2 linked regions of the Lepisosteus oculatus genome follow. The protein of the gene in region 1 binds, or shares a complex with, the protein of each later gene. Links are inferred from orthologs where the notes say so. Each region holds a gene or a part of one and is shown on either strand. Other genes may lie near its edges.

Region 1 (7,571 bases):
CTTCCTGGATATTTCGTGCCTTTTCTTCGTCCGCTGTGTTGCCCTTGTGCATTCTGTTTGTTCGCAGACTGCAAGATTCTTTTTGCAATGTCTGATTTTAAGGGTGCGTTGAAAATCTCTCTCGTTTCTGATTTCGGAAATTCTTAAAGAAGGCATCCAATGAATATTAAAAGGATTGAGGTTTACTGAGCAGTACATTACAGACTGTTTTGCAGTCTTTGTGTGCTTTTATTTAATATAAGTTAGATCCTGATGTCTGATTTTTTATTAGCGTTTTTGAGAGATCAGAGTCTCCCATGTCTTTAAACGGGAAGGCTTTCAGAACGTCACACTTGAATCACCTGAAAACTGTCATGATTTTTATCATTTGCTATTATTAACTCATGAAGGCTCCCAATTTGTTACACGTACCTTAAAGAAAACGTTTCGTCTTCCAGCTTCTCAACACACCAGGGCTTCTTTTCTGTCCTTTCAGATTTTTTTCATAGCGTGCATCGACAGTAAAGGACTATGGATTAGTTTCTGTACAATGTCACCATTTGCCATGATCCAAGCAGTGATTTGTAGAGCACATTAGTGTGGTAAAGGAATGAAGTTTTATTTTACATATCTTGAAAGAGCTTTTACCTTAGGAAAACATTTTTTACAACCATTTTTTGTTAATTTTTTAACATGCAAGTTAGCAGTCTAGTCAATTTTCAATGTATGAATAACACAATGGCCATAAATTGATGATAATGCCTAAACAATGTGATCACCATGTTTACAAAGTAATACCTAACTCAGAAGCTGTAGTATGGGGATGTGTCATGCCTGTCTTACACCACAGATGAAATAATCTTTTACAGCTCAGCTGTGGGCTTGAGCTGGAGTATAGACGATGATCATGGGTTAAGGGAGAGAGCTGCTCTGAGTCACCTGGCACATGATGAAACTGTCCTAGCTCTACAGAGAACAGTGTCGGGCTCATTCTCCAATCTTCAAAGACTACGCTATGCGCTTGAAATGAAGGTTGAAATTGGAACAGTTCACGTACTAATGTACGCTTAGTTCGACTCTGAGATCGGGCTGCTTTAAATTTAATTTTACAATGTTACCTAATGTTTTGTTTGCATGTGTTTGAAAAGTAGTATTTCTTATGATTATTTTGCTAGCTTGCAGTATAATGTACTGTATAGCTACTTTCCACTTATGATCTTCAAGAAGCTACCTGCCTGCATTGTCCTACATGTGTTGACTGGGCAGTGGATCTAGTGCAGATCATTGATAACGGGAAGTGCTTTCTTGTAGATTGTACAGATTAGTTAAAATGTATGCTTAGTCAACTTTTGTTTCTATTGTGACTATTTTTTGTTTTAAAAAGGAATTATTTTTCCCTAATCATTTCCAAATATAGAATTCTTAATGGAAAGAAGAATCCCAAATGAAACAGTTTGAAGTCTCAGTCAGCACTTATTCTGTACTTTCATTACATTTTATCTTTCTTTAAAGGCTGTGGTCCAGTACACAGCCTGTGATCAGACATTGCAATAAATGTTTATATGTTCACAATGATAAAACCAAAATCCCAGTTATTTGCCACTTTTGTTGTTCCGTGCTATTGCTCTGGACAAAATAGGCCTGCAAAATGGGGTGGTGCAGTGGTTACCATTGCTGCCTCGCAGTGCTGGGCCCTGGGTTGCTGTCTGTGTGGAGTTTGCACGTTCCCCCCATATTCACATGCGTTTCCTCAAGATGCTTTGGTTTCTGCCCACAATCCAAAGACATACTGGTAGCTTAATTGGCTTCTTGGGAAAACTGACTCGGATGTGAGTGTGTACATGACTGTGTGTGCCCTGTGATGAACTGTGATGATCCAGGGTGTATCCTGTCTTGTGCCTGTTGCTTGAGGGACTCCGGCTCCCCCTCAGTCCTGTAATGGATAGAGCAGTTAGAAAATGGATGTATCGACAAACAAAATACGTGATCTTTCAAAACTCAATTTACTTGACCTTTGTACCATTAACAAAGGGTGTGATTTTTGTGATTTATTCTCTTACGATCTGATGACGAAGACAGACCTGTACACTGGGAGAAGAGAAGGTTGTATTCTGATGGGCTTTCTGCTTCACACCAGCTACAGTACAACCTCCCCATTGTTTGTTACCCAGACACTGATTGTGGATGTTCTTGATGCTGTATATGTGATGCTAAGAAATTTTAGCTCTAGGAGTTAAAGTGAGAATTTTGTCTGTTTTGTTAAAAGTAAAATATGGCTTACTTTCTTAAAGAAGACTAAAGGCATGAGACCTAGGATAATAATCATACAGTCACTGGTCAGTGGTCCGGTAACAGTGGTTTATACAGTATAGTGGAGCACTTCACAAATTTATTTTAGTGCCTCAGACTTTGTCCTGATGCAGTTAATGATAAATACGTGGGGTATTTTTTAAAGATATATACTCTCCAAAAAAGAACATGTGTTGTTCACTGGTATGTGTGAAATGGGATCTGCTTGTAAAAAAAAACCAATTTTGTATGTATGATTTGTTTCCAGATTAAAGTTTCTATTAAACAGTATTTTGTGAGTTATTCTCACTTGGGTGCAATTTACTTGATTCAGATCTTGTAAAGAACACTCAGCATTTACAGCCCTGCAACAAAGTATCAATAAAATCTTTTTAATGAAGGTCAAACTAGTAAATTGCAGTGCACTTGCTGTCTTTTCTCACTTAGTTTTGCTTCCCCACTCTTAACACTCTTAATTACCGTGTAAATATGCACAAGAACAACATAGTCAATGTAATAACCGTTATGGCTCTGTTGTTTTGCAAAATCTTTAGGACAAGTATCCGGAGCCACTGTCCTGGAGAACTCCAGTCAGGAAGTTCAGATATTTGTTCCAAATTATATTTTAATCATTAAATTACATCTAATTGATCACAATTTAATTGCTGTGAAACTAGATGGCTATAAAACCCGGTGCACTGGTTTTCTCTAGAACCAAAGATGGGGACACTTGCTCTACACAGTAAAACGGAGAGGAAAACATTAACTTGCCATCCTGCAATGGCAGGGCAGAAAAAAGTTACGGGCAGCCTTAAAAGCTTTTGCATTTCTGTGAAGAAAAAATATATCTGTTGAAGGATGCTAAAGTACTACATTTAAAACGCCCTGAATTGCCTGGTAGATGTTTAACGTTGTTTGTATCTGTCTTGTGTGTACATTGAAATAACAAAATCAAACCTGAGAGTTTCATGGGAGGTTTGTTTTATTGGTTACAATTAAATCACCACCTTCTAAAGACCTACAAATTTAATTCTGGTCAATTAAGAAGCTGATTTGTCATTTGGTACTCCATCGAGTACTTTAGCCCTAGAAGACCATTTTTTCTTAATTAAAATGATTCATCAGAATCTTACAGATACATCCAAACTTCAGAAACGTGACATAAGATTTTATACGTAACTAGTTACATCATCACCGATTTATTTAGGCATTAGCCAAATGTTTTTTAGTACTTGCCTGACCTAGATACACAGAACTGTTTAAAAATACTTGTTTGACGTGTCTAAACTGAATTTTATGTGCCATTCACGCACCGTGCAAATGTATTTGCAAGGCTGCTGATGGAAAAAAACAGATCAGAAAATATCAAAAGCAGCAGTGTTTAACCCTGGTCCTGGGGGGGGGCAGCAGTCCAGTAGGTATCATACATAGTGTAACGCACAATAGCTTTATATCGGCAACCCCACAGTTCAAGACCTGGGAAAGAATATTAAACTGGAAACAGTGGAATCTGAGAACAAAACTGTGCTTCAACAAATACCTTTGGAGGACCAGAATGGACACACCAGAACTGAGATTGAGTTCGTTCAGACAGGAGCACTGAAAGAAACTTGATCAGGTTAAGACAATTTAAGTTTTAGAAGGAATGTTAGTCAAATACATATAAATATACAGTCAATGTACATTATTCTGTGTTTTAACCAGAAGACACGTTCTCTATAGCGTTAAACTACAGTACATATACCAGAAGGTAGTCGATGGCTTTCATAGTCCAAACAGATATTTTTCCGCACAGCAGATCTTCTGAATGTTCCCCACGTGAGAAGGGCATCGGGAATCACGTGTGTATCATGGTCCGTGTGGGCCAGGTCTGTAGACACAAACAAGAGGAAGTAAGAAACAGACCAATAAAAACATTTGCAGCTACTTCCGACATGAATCTCATCCTTCGATCAGCTGTTTGACGGCGTTCGGTACAGGATAAGTCGGTGTTTGCAGTTTCGTGCACCTTTTAATTATAGCCTTTCCCGAGCAGCTGGATGTAAACAACACAGATCTGAAATCGCAGCCGGAATTTCAATTTCACGGAGTCGGCTTCGCCGTCAGCAGAGACCCCGGCTCCCAAGCGCTGGTGATCTGCAGGAGGAGGAGGACTTTGCCTTATTTTTCGGAGAAGCTCTTCAAGATCTCGGCACAGCTAAAGAGAAGCCAGGTGCAGTTGTGCCTTGTCAGTAGAGAAGACGGAGGACCTGAGACCCTGCGGCGGCTTGTGTTGCGGTTTCCAGTCGGGCCGAGAAGGTCGCTGAACCGGCCATGCACGACGCCTATGAAGCGGTCCCCATCCTGGAAAAGCTGCCTCTTCAGATAGACTGCATGGCGGCCTGGGGTGAGTTAACCACCAGACCGGGAATGGGGACCACTTAGTGTGATATAATTTTACGAGTTTAGCGGAACAGTTGATGGAGAGCTCTCCGGAGCATTGAGACATGATAGAAAAGAGGAACTTTGTCAACGAGTGACATTGGTTCCTAGGCAGCACTTAACACGCATTCGCTTTCATTACTGTTGAACGTGTTTTTACATTGGTTTACATACATGTTATATATGTACAAATTTATTATTTTTGTACTTATGACATCACATGTTTGTATACATAACATCCACACGCCTCAGGTATTGTTCTCAATATTAGTTATAGAATAAATGTAGGATTAATTATTTTGCGTTATTTTACATTTACTTCGAATGACATTAAAAGAAGCATAAGAAATACGTTTTTGTTTGTAGCTGCATTTTCTGTTTTTCATTTGTTTTACCCATTTTTTATGAAAGGTACAAACGCTTTATGCAATTCTCCTCGTAATTTCCTTAGCGAAATTAGATGCTTATGGACTCAGATTTAAAACCCTAAATGTAGCATTCCTGAATCATTTGACTCCTTTCTCAGGTGGCCTGTGCGTTTTGATGAGAGAACCCTGTGCAACTGGATTTTCAAGTTTCGCAGTTTCATCCATATTCCCTTTATTTCCTTTGGTGCTTAATTCCAGGACACATTGAGGAAGGACAGGTTATAAACATTACAAACTGTAAATTGGTGTCAATCCTTTCATTTTCTCTTTAATTAAAAAGCATAAGCCTTTTCTCTTAATTTCCAAAACATTATTTTCAGATAAGTGAACACATTTTTATGTATATTTTTGCCTCATCGGACATTTAATTTGGGTTGCCTTGTGTATAGTTTTACAGATACAGTATGGTAGTAATGAGCTCAGACTGTCCAATTGAATGAGTAGGTGGGCAGTGCTCCTGTCATTCAGACCCAGTGAGACCTGCTGATCAGTGTTCCTGTTCCAATGAGTCTAAACAGATAAGAGTAAAGCTTTAACAACACAGTTATCAAATGTAGCCTACTGCGAAAACCATATAATACAAGTTATGAACATCTGATGGGTAGCACAGTGGGTTAGTATTGCTGCCTCTCAGCACTGGGTCCCTGGGTTCAAGTTTGGATCTGGGGTGTTATCGTCGTGGGGTGTTCTCCCTGTCTGTGTGGGTTTTTGCCAGGTGCTCCAGTTTCCTCCTGTTGACCAAAGACATACTGATAGGTTAAGTGGCTTCTGGGAAAAGTGGCCCTGGTGTGAGTGTGTTTGTGTGTCTGTATGTCTGCTCAGCGTCTGACTGGCATCCCATCCAGGGTGTACCCTGCCTTGTCTCTGTTACTTGCTGGGATAGGCTCCAGCTCTGCAGTGGAGGAAGAAGTTAGAAAATGAATGAAGGGACATATTTTTGATATTTTAAAATTTCATTTTTGTATTGGGAAGGTTTCTTCGGATTTTACTAAATGTTCTTCACATAAGCAGTAAATTCTGGTGCGACAAATATCTGTGAGTCTAATGTGGAAAATGCAAGGTGAGCTATGACACAGTGACTTCACGTTAAATTTTCCAATAGGAGCTAAAGCTGATTTTCTAGGCTGCGGTGTTTAATAGTTTTTGTTCACCCAAGCTGTTTCTTAGCTGGTATAATTATTTGAAGGAGAGTGATTGCCCAGTGACTGGGCAGTGTGTTCTTCTCCAGTGACCACTGTATGTGTTTTACAGAGGACTGGCTGCTCGTGGGGACCAAGCCAGGACACCTGCTGCTGTACAGAGTCAAGAAGGATTCAGGTGGGCTCCCTCACGCGCTGCTGAAGAGCAGTTCAAGTCACCTGTATCAGCATGTTGAAACCCTGTTTCACTTCCAGCCTTCTCTTCTGCTAAAATGCGTGAAATGAATTGCTTAGCAGCCAGTTAAATTAACAGTGCTGGATTAAAAGAATGCTCTAGGCCATAATCTCACGTCTCTTCTTTGGTTCTGGCCATATTTCCGGAATCTCAAGCCCGGGGGATATCTGTATGTGATGACGTTAAAAGCTTTTTGTCTATTTTGTTCTGCGTGACGCAACAACAGAAATATGAAATGACAGAAGCTATTCTGGCTAGCGTCCACCATTTTAGATCTTTTTTTTTGTAACATTGGGTTATGATTTTAGTTTCCAAAAATAACGGTAGTATTAACATAGCGAAAACTGACCAGGGCGTGCTGTGTTAAGTGTATTGTATTGTAACTTGAAGTCTCTCTGTTCTTAACCACTGCTGCTTACATGTCAAAATGACACCATGAAGTTAGGATGGGAAAGCACATAGGTCTTGCACAGGCGTCAGTGTATAGGGCTTTTCCAGTGTGCTTAAGAGCAGATTTGCTCACTTCTTGGCCCTCCCAGCTACTGGGATGGCAGTAACGTATTTGGTCTGGTTTCTAGCAGGGATCATGCCATGGCAAATAGCAGTGGGCGTGGGGGCAGCAAAGTAGACTGTTGCAAAACTGCCAGTGTGTAATACACACTAAATGAAAAGCAGTAGATGTTTACGACTTTAATTTTTTGGCATGCCGTAGTGCAGGCAGACATTCAGTAATTATTTGTACAGTTCTTCATAAAGACCCATTGTCCCGACAAGGGAAATAAGAGACTTGTTGTCAAAGACAGCCCTGTTCTTTTGTATGTATGGGTGTAGACGCAGAAATTGGGGATGTGCTGGCCTTGCCAGTTTCCATGCTGTAACCAGACTTCTTGTGCCTTCCTTATAGGCAGTAACAGGTTTGAAGTAACGCTGGAAAAATCCAACAAAAACTTCTCCAAGAAAATTCAGCAGGTATGTGGTAAAGTAACTTCTGTGGACTGATGTCATTCACTATTGTTTCATATGCATGTGCATTTTTGTGTTAAATTAGTCGGGCCAGCAGTGGACTGATTGTCCCATTTG
Region 2 (8,007 bases), on another chromosome or scaffold:
CACAGAAATGTTCATTTCCACTTACAATTCAGTTTCTAAATGTAGTATTACTGTATAATGATAATAATAATATTATTATATTAATTAACATTAATGTAATAATATCATCCAGGTGGATGCTGCACATTGGTGGTGGTGGAGGGGAGTTCCCATTACCTGTAAAGCGCTTTGAGTGGTGTGTCCAGAAAAGCACTATATAAATGTAAGCAATTAATTATTATTATTATTATTATTATTATTATTATTATTATTACAAACTAAAAATTAAATACTACCCAATACTAACATACAGTATATACTTTATAAAAATGTCTTTGGCATTTCAGGCTTTGAAAAATATGCTACACAAACATTCAATATTTGATCGCAGAATATTCGATACATTTATATTGAGTTAATACTAAGAATAATTCCTTGCAATTATATAGAGCTTTTCAACTCAGAAGATCTCAAACCTCTTCACAAACAGGAGGAGACTCACTACATCCAACATCTCAGTGCTGCACAAACCTGGGTGACAAATGCATCAGTAGCCCAAATACCCAAAAAATTAGATGGAGAAGTGAGCAATTGCTTCAGCAACTGAACTAAGGAGGAACTATAGGCAGGCCAGACTGAAGCAAGTACAGAGTGGAATGTAGGTAGGACATGGGCTAACACTCCTACTCATACAGACTGTGCTTTGGGATCACCAATGACCAGGCAGTCAGGATCTCCGTTTCACATCCCATCCAAAGGACAGCACCTCCAGTAGCACAGGGTCCCAATGGGACACTGGTGTGGAAATTCTGGTGCAGATGGAAGAGCGCCACCTACTGGTCCATAAGTACAGCAGCAAGTAAGGTCACCCATTGCTGTACTGACCGAGATCAAGCCCAACCTTGCTTTGGCTCTCAAATCTGACAAGACTGGCATTGCTGGTCACAAATTTTAAATGGGATGTCATAAAAACAAAACAATTTATAACTTATTTATTTATGAATTATCTAGCTCTGTTGAAGATAACTTAGAGATTTAAGATATCCCTTCAAAACATTAACTAAAGAAATACCAAAACTCTATTTTGGGCTTTTATTTAGTGGTGCTAGAAGTGAAAAACAAAAAGGAACTGAAAACATTCTGACTGCAGTCTTGTATGATTTTCATCATAGTCCATAAATAAAAGTTCAGACATACTGTTACTAATAACTGTTACATTACTGTAACTAATGCTTCAAAAATGTTTTATTTTTTAGCTTATATACTGTATGAATCTAGAAGCAAGGAATATTTAAAAATTAAGACATGTTACTCCTCTCTTTTAGAGACACAGTGTCAAAATTTACCCTTTATATTTCTGTTTAAATCAGGAAATTGGGAAGTTTAAAAATGAGAGGAAGACATTTGGCCTGCCCACATCATTTAGTAGTTAGTAGTTAATTTATCCCTAAGTCCCATCCAGCTGTGTCTCTAAAGAAGCCATGGTACTGGCTTCAAGTAGAAAGTGGCTGGCCAGCTTGTTCCATTCTCTCACAAAGCTTTGTATAAAGAAATGCCTCCTGTTCTTGGTTTAACATACACTTCCACTTGTGTTCCCTGATTTGTGTTTCACTTAGGTCTTATGTTTCATAATATATTTAATAAAATGCAATATGAAAAATAAAATAACTAGAAGGATGCTTCCTGCTAATCCCTGTATCTTGATTTTACCTTAAATGTGTTAAATGTAATGGTGAAATAATAAAAAAATAAAGATTTCATACATCCATCCATTTTCTAATACAGGGTGATATCCTGGCAAGCAAAGGACACAAGGCAGGATACACCCTGGCTGGGACGCCAGTCCATAGCAGGGCACACATCAGGGCAAATTTTCCTGCCGGTATGTCTTTGGACTGTAGGAGGAAACCGGAGCACCAGGAGCAAAAACTCACATGAACAACTGTAACAAATCTGGAAGCTAATTAACAAACCTCAGGAACTACATGCATGTGCAGAACTGGGCATGGAAAAACTGACTTCCTGTGAGAACATGAGTTAATTGGGTAGTTCACATTAATTTGCCTTTTCCTTTCACCTCACTGAGTTTTTTCTTCATCCCTGTGATTTGTATTGCTGACAATTCGCTGATTATGGTTAACATTAGGCATGTCCATGCTATCTTATTATTCCATCCAAACAATTAAGTACGACTGATGATGACAAACACTAGTTTGTGCAGGTTTCGATTTCCGATTATCATTACATCCTCAAGCAGCCCTTATCTAAATCAGTTCTGCAAAGAATTCTAGCTTCTATATTTCACCTGAATTCATCATTACAAGGTAGAGCACAGGTCTAATGAGCCATTCTCCAGTGAAATGTGAAATATACAGTATTATGCTGTTTGTCTGAGGTTGTATAACTATATTAGTCCTGTAACACAAGTAGGAAAGCCAGAAATTTGTAAACACCCAGTGGCTGATTTATCTAGGACATTTCCGGTCCCCCTACAGCAGTATGACAACAGATAGGTCTTACATAAAAAGACAGGCCACTGCACGATTACAGATCTTGAACTGTCAAGAACTGTAGCGCGCTAATTCTTCGTTCAGCTACGCCATCTCGTAATTTACGTTAATTAATGTTCAGTGACTGACAGTAAATGTGAGCTAGGAAAGAAATGATTGTACAACATGCATTACATTGTCTCATTCGTGAAAAAAGCTTAGTCACTGGCTTAAGTAAATCGGGAATAAACTAATGTGTTATAAAATTATTAGATTGGTCCTAGTTTCTTCGAAAACCTCAGTGCATTTCAAATAGAAAATCAGAATAGACATCCTTGCTTCCTTCGAAAGTCTACCCTCTTTTATATGTCTGACTTGTTTTTCTTTCACCTTAAATACTCATCTTGTAAAAGCACACTTAATAGCCCAATCTACTTTCCAAAAGCTGACAGCTGTACACTGCATTTATATATTTGCTGTTTTACAGTACTCAGCACCAGATACCTACCTGCTCTTCTGCTTCCGCCATGATGCAGCTCTGTATCACATGACAAAAACAGGAAGCAGGTTGCGAAGCTCTCTGGGATGTGTAGTTTTCTCAGAGCGCGCACCGTGCCGTCTCGCTTTTACATCCTGACATTTAAACATGTTTCAGCGCGATGTCTTCTGAGTGGTTCGCTGGCATCACCAGTGTAAGCAACTATGGAGAAAGAAACTTATTCGTTTTATTCACGAGCAAAATCAAATAACAAGTCACAATTTCTGATTTCAATTAGTTATTTTTTTAACATGGGAAAATTGATTAATACGTAGACCACCCTTACGTTTTTAAAATAAATTGTCAACGCAAATCACAATTAAAATATACGTTTACTATTTTGTTTATATTGGTCAATAATAATAGTACTAAGAATAATAACCTGGGCAGGCTTGAAACTATGAAGAGAACAGTGGTTAATGAGCCATAAGAACTTGACTCGGGCTCCTTGCTCGCTACTCGAATATGTCAAATCATCTGGCGATAGACCTCTTCGATAGTATTCAAGTAAATAAAAGCATAAATATAGACATGTATCTATTGAACCGGTATACGTTTTGCAGATAATTTTAAGAAAATATTATGCATTTACTATCTTATAACAGTTGCAGAGGTCAGTATTGCTACATTCCTCTCCTGAGATGTCCGAGGCTGTAGAAAAAATAGCAGAACAACAATATCGCTGCCTTGAATTGATTTCACCACAAATCCAAAATAAAAAAAAATGTCGTTATTAAATAAGAGTCATAGAATAAACTACGTAGATTTTCAGGCATTGTTCTCATGTTTCTTAGGTGCGTTTTTTATTTCAATGCAAATATTTGTCATAAAATAACTGCAATTGATAAACATTTATGATTCTTTGAATTGTGTTGATCTCGATTTCTTGGTCGTTGTTTGATAGCGTGTTCTTACATGATGATGATGATGATGATGATGATGATGATGATGATGATGATTATTATTATTATTATTATTATTTATAAATCGGTGTTATTGGCTGGTAGACAATATCCCACACCCGAAGACAGAGGTCGCTATTGGGTAGCTACATGAACATGTTTCTTCTGCTTCAAAGAGAATGTGCGTTTCCAAACTTCAGGGACTATGCGCGTTTAGGATATATTGGAATTGCGAATATATTGGAATTGCTTGTTTCTAAAACGTACTTAATTTAAAAGATTGCTGTCCGGTGAATGCTAATTATGCATAGGTAAACGCTGTGTGAAACTATACGAGCTTAACCTCAAATAAAATAAATGCTGAAACGAATCGGGGGGTTTCCTTGCTGTGTCGCTTTTTTGAATACCGACAGACGATCTAACTGAACAGCTTGTCACTACTTCATCATCCGCAAACGAAGAGCTGAGCTGTATTCATGAGAAATTGGAGTATTAGAAAATTAAATATGTTATTCCAGTTGGTTCGAGAAAATGAGTTTCAATTAGCGATATGCGATTGTAACTTGAAATGTATCCTCATTGATAGCTAAACATGTATTTTCACTGAGGATAGCGAATGTATAAATCTACTTTTTATGCTATTTACAGTTAATAAAATAAACACATTTTTGCAGATAGAGAGGCTAATTAAGGAATCGAGTAAATGCTTAATTTTTATTCCCCGGTGAAGGTAACTAGCTATCACAAAGTGTAAGCACTGGCAGATTTTATTTTTGCGTATTATTTTAAAATGAGGTAATTACTGTATAAATGTGAACAATAGTATAAAAGTTGAAGAAAATCACACTGGCCCTTGTAAAAGCTGGCGGACTGTTCAGCTGATTTGTTTTGCTTGCACTTGTATTAATGCAAGGTAGAGATAATATAAATAATAACGTATGATTGGTATTAGATAATACTGTAAATAAAATTGCACTATATCTGTTAAAATAACCTAAACGTGTTTCTCCTTTAAAATGAAAGTTTCTGAAAACCAGTAATAGCAGAAACTGCAACAAAAAATATAAAACAGTGATAAAAACACTTCACATTGCCTAGAGATATACATATAGAGAGAGGAATACTTTATATTTCCCCTGTTGAAAAATAAAGCCAGACACAGAACGTACAGGTACAGTATTTCAAAAACCTTCTAAATTGCTTGCATGGATGATGCTGCATGATGTTAACGAACGACTTCGAATTAAACTCAATTTAATCAAGGTCATTTTTATAATATAATCCCTTAATCAAATGACTTTAACATTTTTGGAAAAATGTGCCTTCTTCCATAACGATGCACTGTTTATATATGCTACCATTTCCCCGTAGTTTTATACAGGATCTATTAAGCATCCTCGGTTTTTTTATCGGATCTAGGTTTACTGGTCAATAAGACGATTAAGTATTTCAGATAGAATATTATTGAGTACAAGCGGGCTTTTTAATAAACCTATAATATGTTCAGATATATCCGGAGTATCCACCCGGGAAGTCCCCTGGGAGGGCCTGTCCATCTGCAAAAGAGATATGCAAAGTTGATCTTTAAATCTTTTTAATGCAGGTTGAAGGAGCATGTCAAGGATCAAATTATAACTTCGATTATTTATTCGTAATCCATTGTATTCACACAAACATTAGAAAAGTGACCACAGCCGTAATGAAGTCAATTACAAAAAAACTGCCACATCGCGCTAAAATAGATCCAGAAATCCCTGGTTCTGCAATAATTCAGAAAAAACTCTTCATTAATTTAGAATATTACAGCTAATAGTTTATTGTTGATACACTGTCGACTTGATAATTGAGAGAAAAAGAAGTAAACAGACATCTGCGCTAGCTGTCGAAATAAACGAAACAGCGTATAATTTAACACGTTATTATTCTTTGAATATGGTGTAATTTTCTGGATGTTTCTTTGATATGCAGGGTAAATAATTATGATTAAAACTAAGTAAGAGCTCTTAATAGTAAGTTGCTAAGTAAAGACAAAGTATCCTTTGGTAAATTATACAATAACACGTGTAATAATCAAAACCTACACAACATTTATTGCAGTCTTTATCTGAGTTCTTTGCCAGTGGTGCCAATTAATGTATTACTGATGGTCCTGGACCCAGCAGAAAGCTATTTAATTCCTACTTGGTCTCTTGGCATCAGCAAATAGCTGACTATTTTACAATACACCAGGTAGTGAATACAGGTAGTGAGTATTCCTTTTAAAAACTCATACAATGCATGGGAGTACAGTATGTGTTTTGGGTCTGAGAGCATTTACAGGGTGGGTTGGGAGTGGTATAAGAGTGTGTGTCTTTGTGGACTGAAGGGGGTCACATGACTTTTTTCATCCTATTTGGTAGAGCTGCTTGACTTTTTCTGCTTTTGGTGATAGCCGTGACTCTACGAGCAGGCATTGATTGACAGATGCATACCAGAAAGCCCCTGTTTGCCTTTCACAGACTCCATATGATGGATTGTGATCTCCCAGGCCAGCTGGACACAGAGACCATGAATGCTGTAATTGGTCAGGTATGGAGTCAGCCATTTCTCAATACGTTGTCTTTCATATATTGTTCACTGCTGTGCAAAATCCTTCACATCTTAGATACAATCAGGAGTTGCACTATATGCTTTTATGGGGATCAATAATTTACACAAAACCTCCATTAGTTTTCTCTTACTTTAGTGCCTTTGATATTAATACAGATAAATATAAGTGAGACAAGAAGAAAACAACCTTGTCATTTAGCAATTTTTAATTTACATTGATCAGAGTTTTCAAGAACTTTATCACAACACCTGTGGGTAGAGTACAGTATATATGAGCAACCAATACACAGTGTTGTAGTAACTAATTCTCCACATATACTAATCATTTCTAATTGACTACTTTTCTTGTTATGTGTTCCTTTCTACACAAACATTAAGCTAGTAGTGTACAAGGCTACATTGATGTACTACAAAATTCAGATGAGGATTAAGTGTTAGCATTGTTCAAAAGAGCTATAATTGTGATAGCATTCTGACAATTTTTTCTTCATGAAGAAGGAAAAACTCAGTGATAAGAGTAGACAATGTCAAATGTCTAAGACTTTTGCACAGCAGTCTATATTTTAGTATGTTAGAGGTTATATATGTATGTATACTATAAGTGTGAGTAGTCAGGGGTTGCAATAAATCCTATGACAGGAGCTTTCTGCTGTTAAGAGACTTGTGCTCTAGGAACACTCTCAGGTTTGACTGGGAATCTGGTTCCCCTGCTGTTTTCCTAGGTTTGTAATTTAAAGTGACCTTTGATAACATTTTTTTCACAGCCTGCTTGCACATAATGACAGTGCTTAATATAAGTGTGCCTGGAGGGTATAAATTGTGCACGTGCACATGTGTGAGGCTGAGAGTGTTTTCTGTTGATTGCCTGAAGATTAGAACCAACGCATGAATCTGAACTAAACTGTTTTTTTTATTCAGTACCGGGTCAACACAGAGTGTACGGTGCTCTCCATGCTCAGCTCCCCGTCTTCTTTTACTCCTCAGCAATGTGATGTTCGATTCGGCTCTGTAAATGTACCCATCCCCTGTCGTGGCACTACAGGGCTCTGTAAATGAGACACTGCCACAGTTATAAAAGTCCAGGTGCTTCACTACTGCTCCTAATGCAATCATGCAACAACAGCTGTAAGAGACAGGATTGTCTTGCTTTTCCATCAGGCGCCAGTGATATTATATACAGTATATATATATATGTGATTCCTTTTTGCCTTTTCTTTTAGATAACTATGCTAGGAATTCCCATGTTGTAAAGAATAATTATCAAGTTTCTCCCATTTGAGGCTTCTGGGTTATTTTGTCTCACTGTCTTGACAAAAGAAGGTTTCCTGTGGGTTTTGAATTTTTGCCACTATGGCTTTGTAGTGATCTGCTACTGAAATATCTTATCTTCCACCATTTCTTCTAAAATGGCAAAGTGTTATCTGGGCTTGTAGAGCTCTGAAGGCTGGCTATTAAACACTCCTTTAGAAACTCAATTGATATTAAAGCAAAATAACAGAAGATCACATAC

Evidence for each region. Proteins that work in one complex are often made in the same cells at the same time.
Region 2: vps39 (region 1) and vps41 share a complex: the UniProt entries of both Homo sapiens proteins name them as parts of the homotypic fusion and vacuole protein sorting (HOPS) complex. The link is inferred for Lepisosteus oculatus from reciprocal best matches to the Homo sapiens genes VPS39 and VPS41.

Annotation. Positions count from the first base shown.
Region 1 is NC_090703.1:20,304,012-20,311,582, forward strand, and holds the start of vps39 (vam6/Vps39-like protein), read left to right. Parts: upstream 1-4,568; 5' UTR 4,569-4,581; coding exon 4,582-4,654; intron 4,655-6,368; coding exon 6,369-6,434; intron 6,435-7,395; coding exon 7,396-7,460; intron 7,461-7,571. UniProt on the Homo sapiens protein: Regulator of TGF-beta/activin signaling, inhibiting SMAD3- and activating SMAD2-dependent transcription.
Region 2 is NC_090701.1:20,679,187-20,687,193, forward strand, and holds the start of vps41 (vacuolar protein sorting-associated protein 41 homolog), read right to left. Parts: upstream 3,042-8,007; 5' UTR 2,998-3,041; coding exon 2,977-2,997; intron 1-2,976. UniProt on the Homo sapiens protein: Plays a role in vesicle-mediated protein trafficking to lysosomal compartments including the endocytic membrane transport and autophagic pathways. Acts as a component of the HOPS endosomal tethering complex.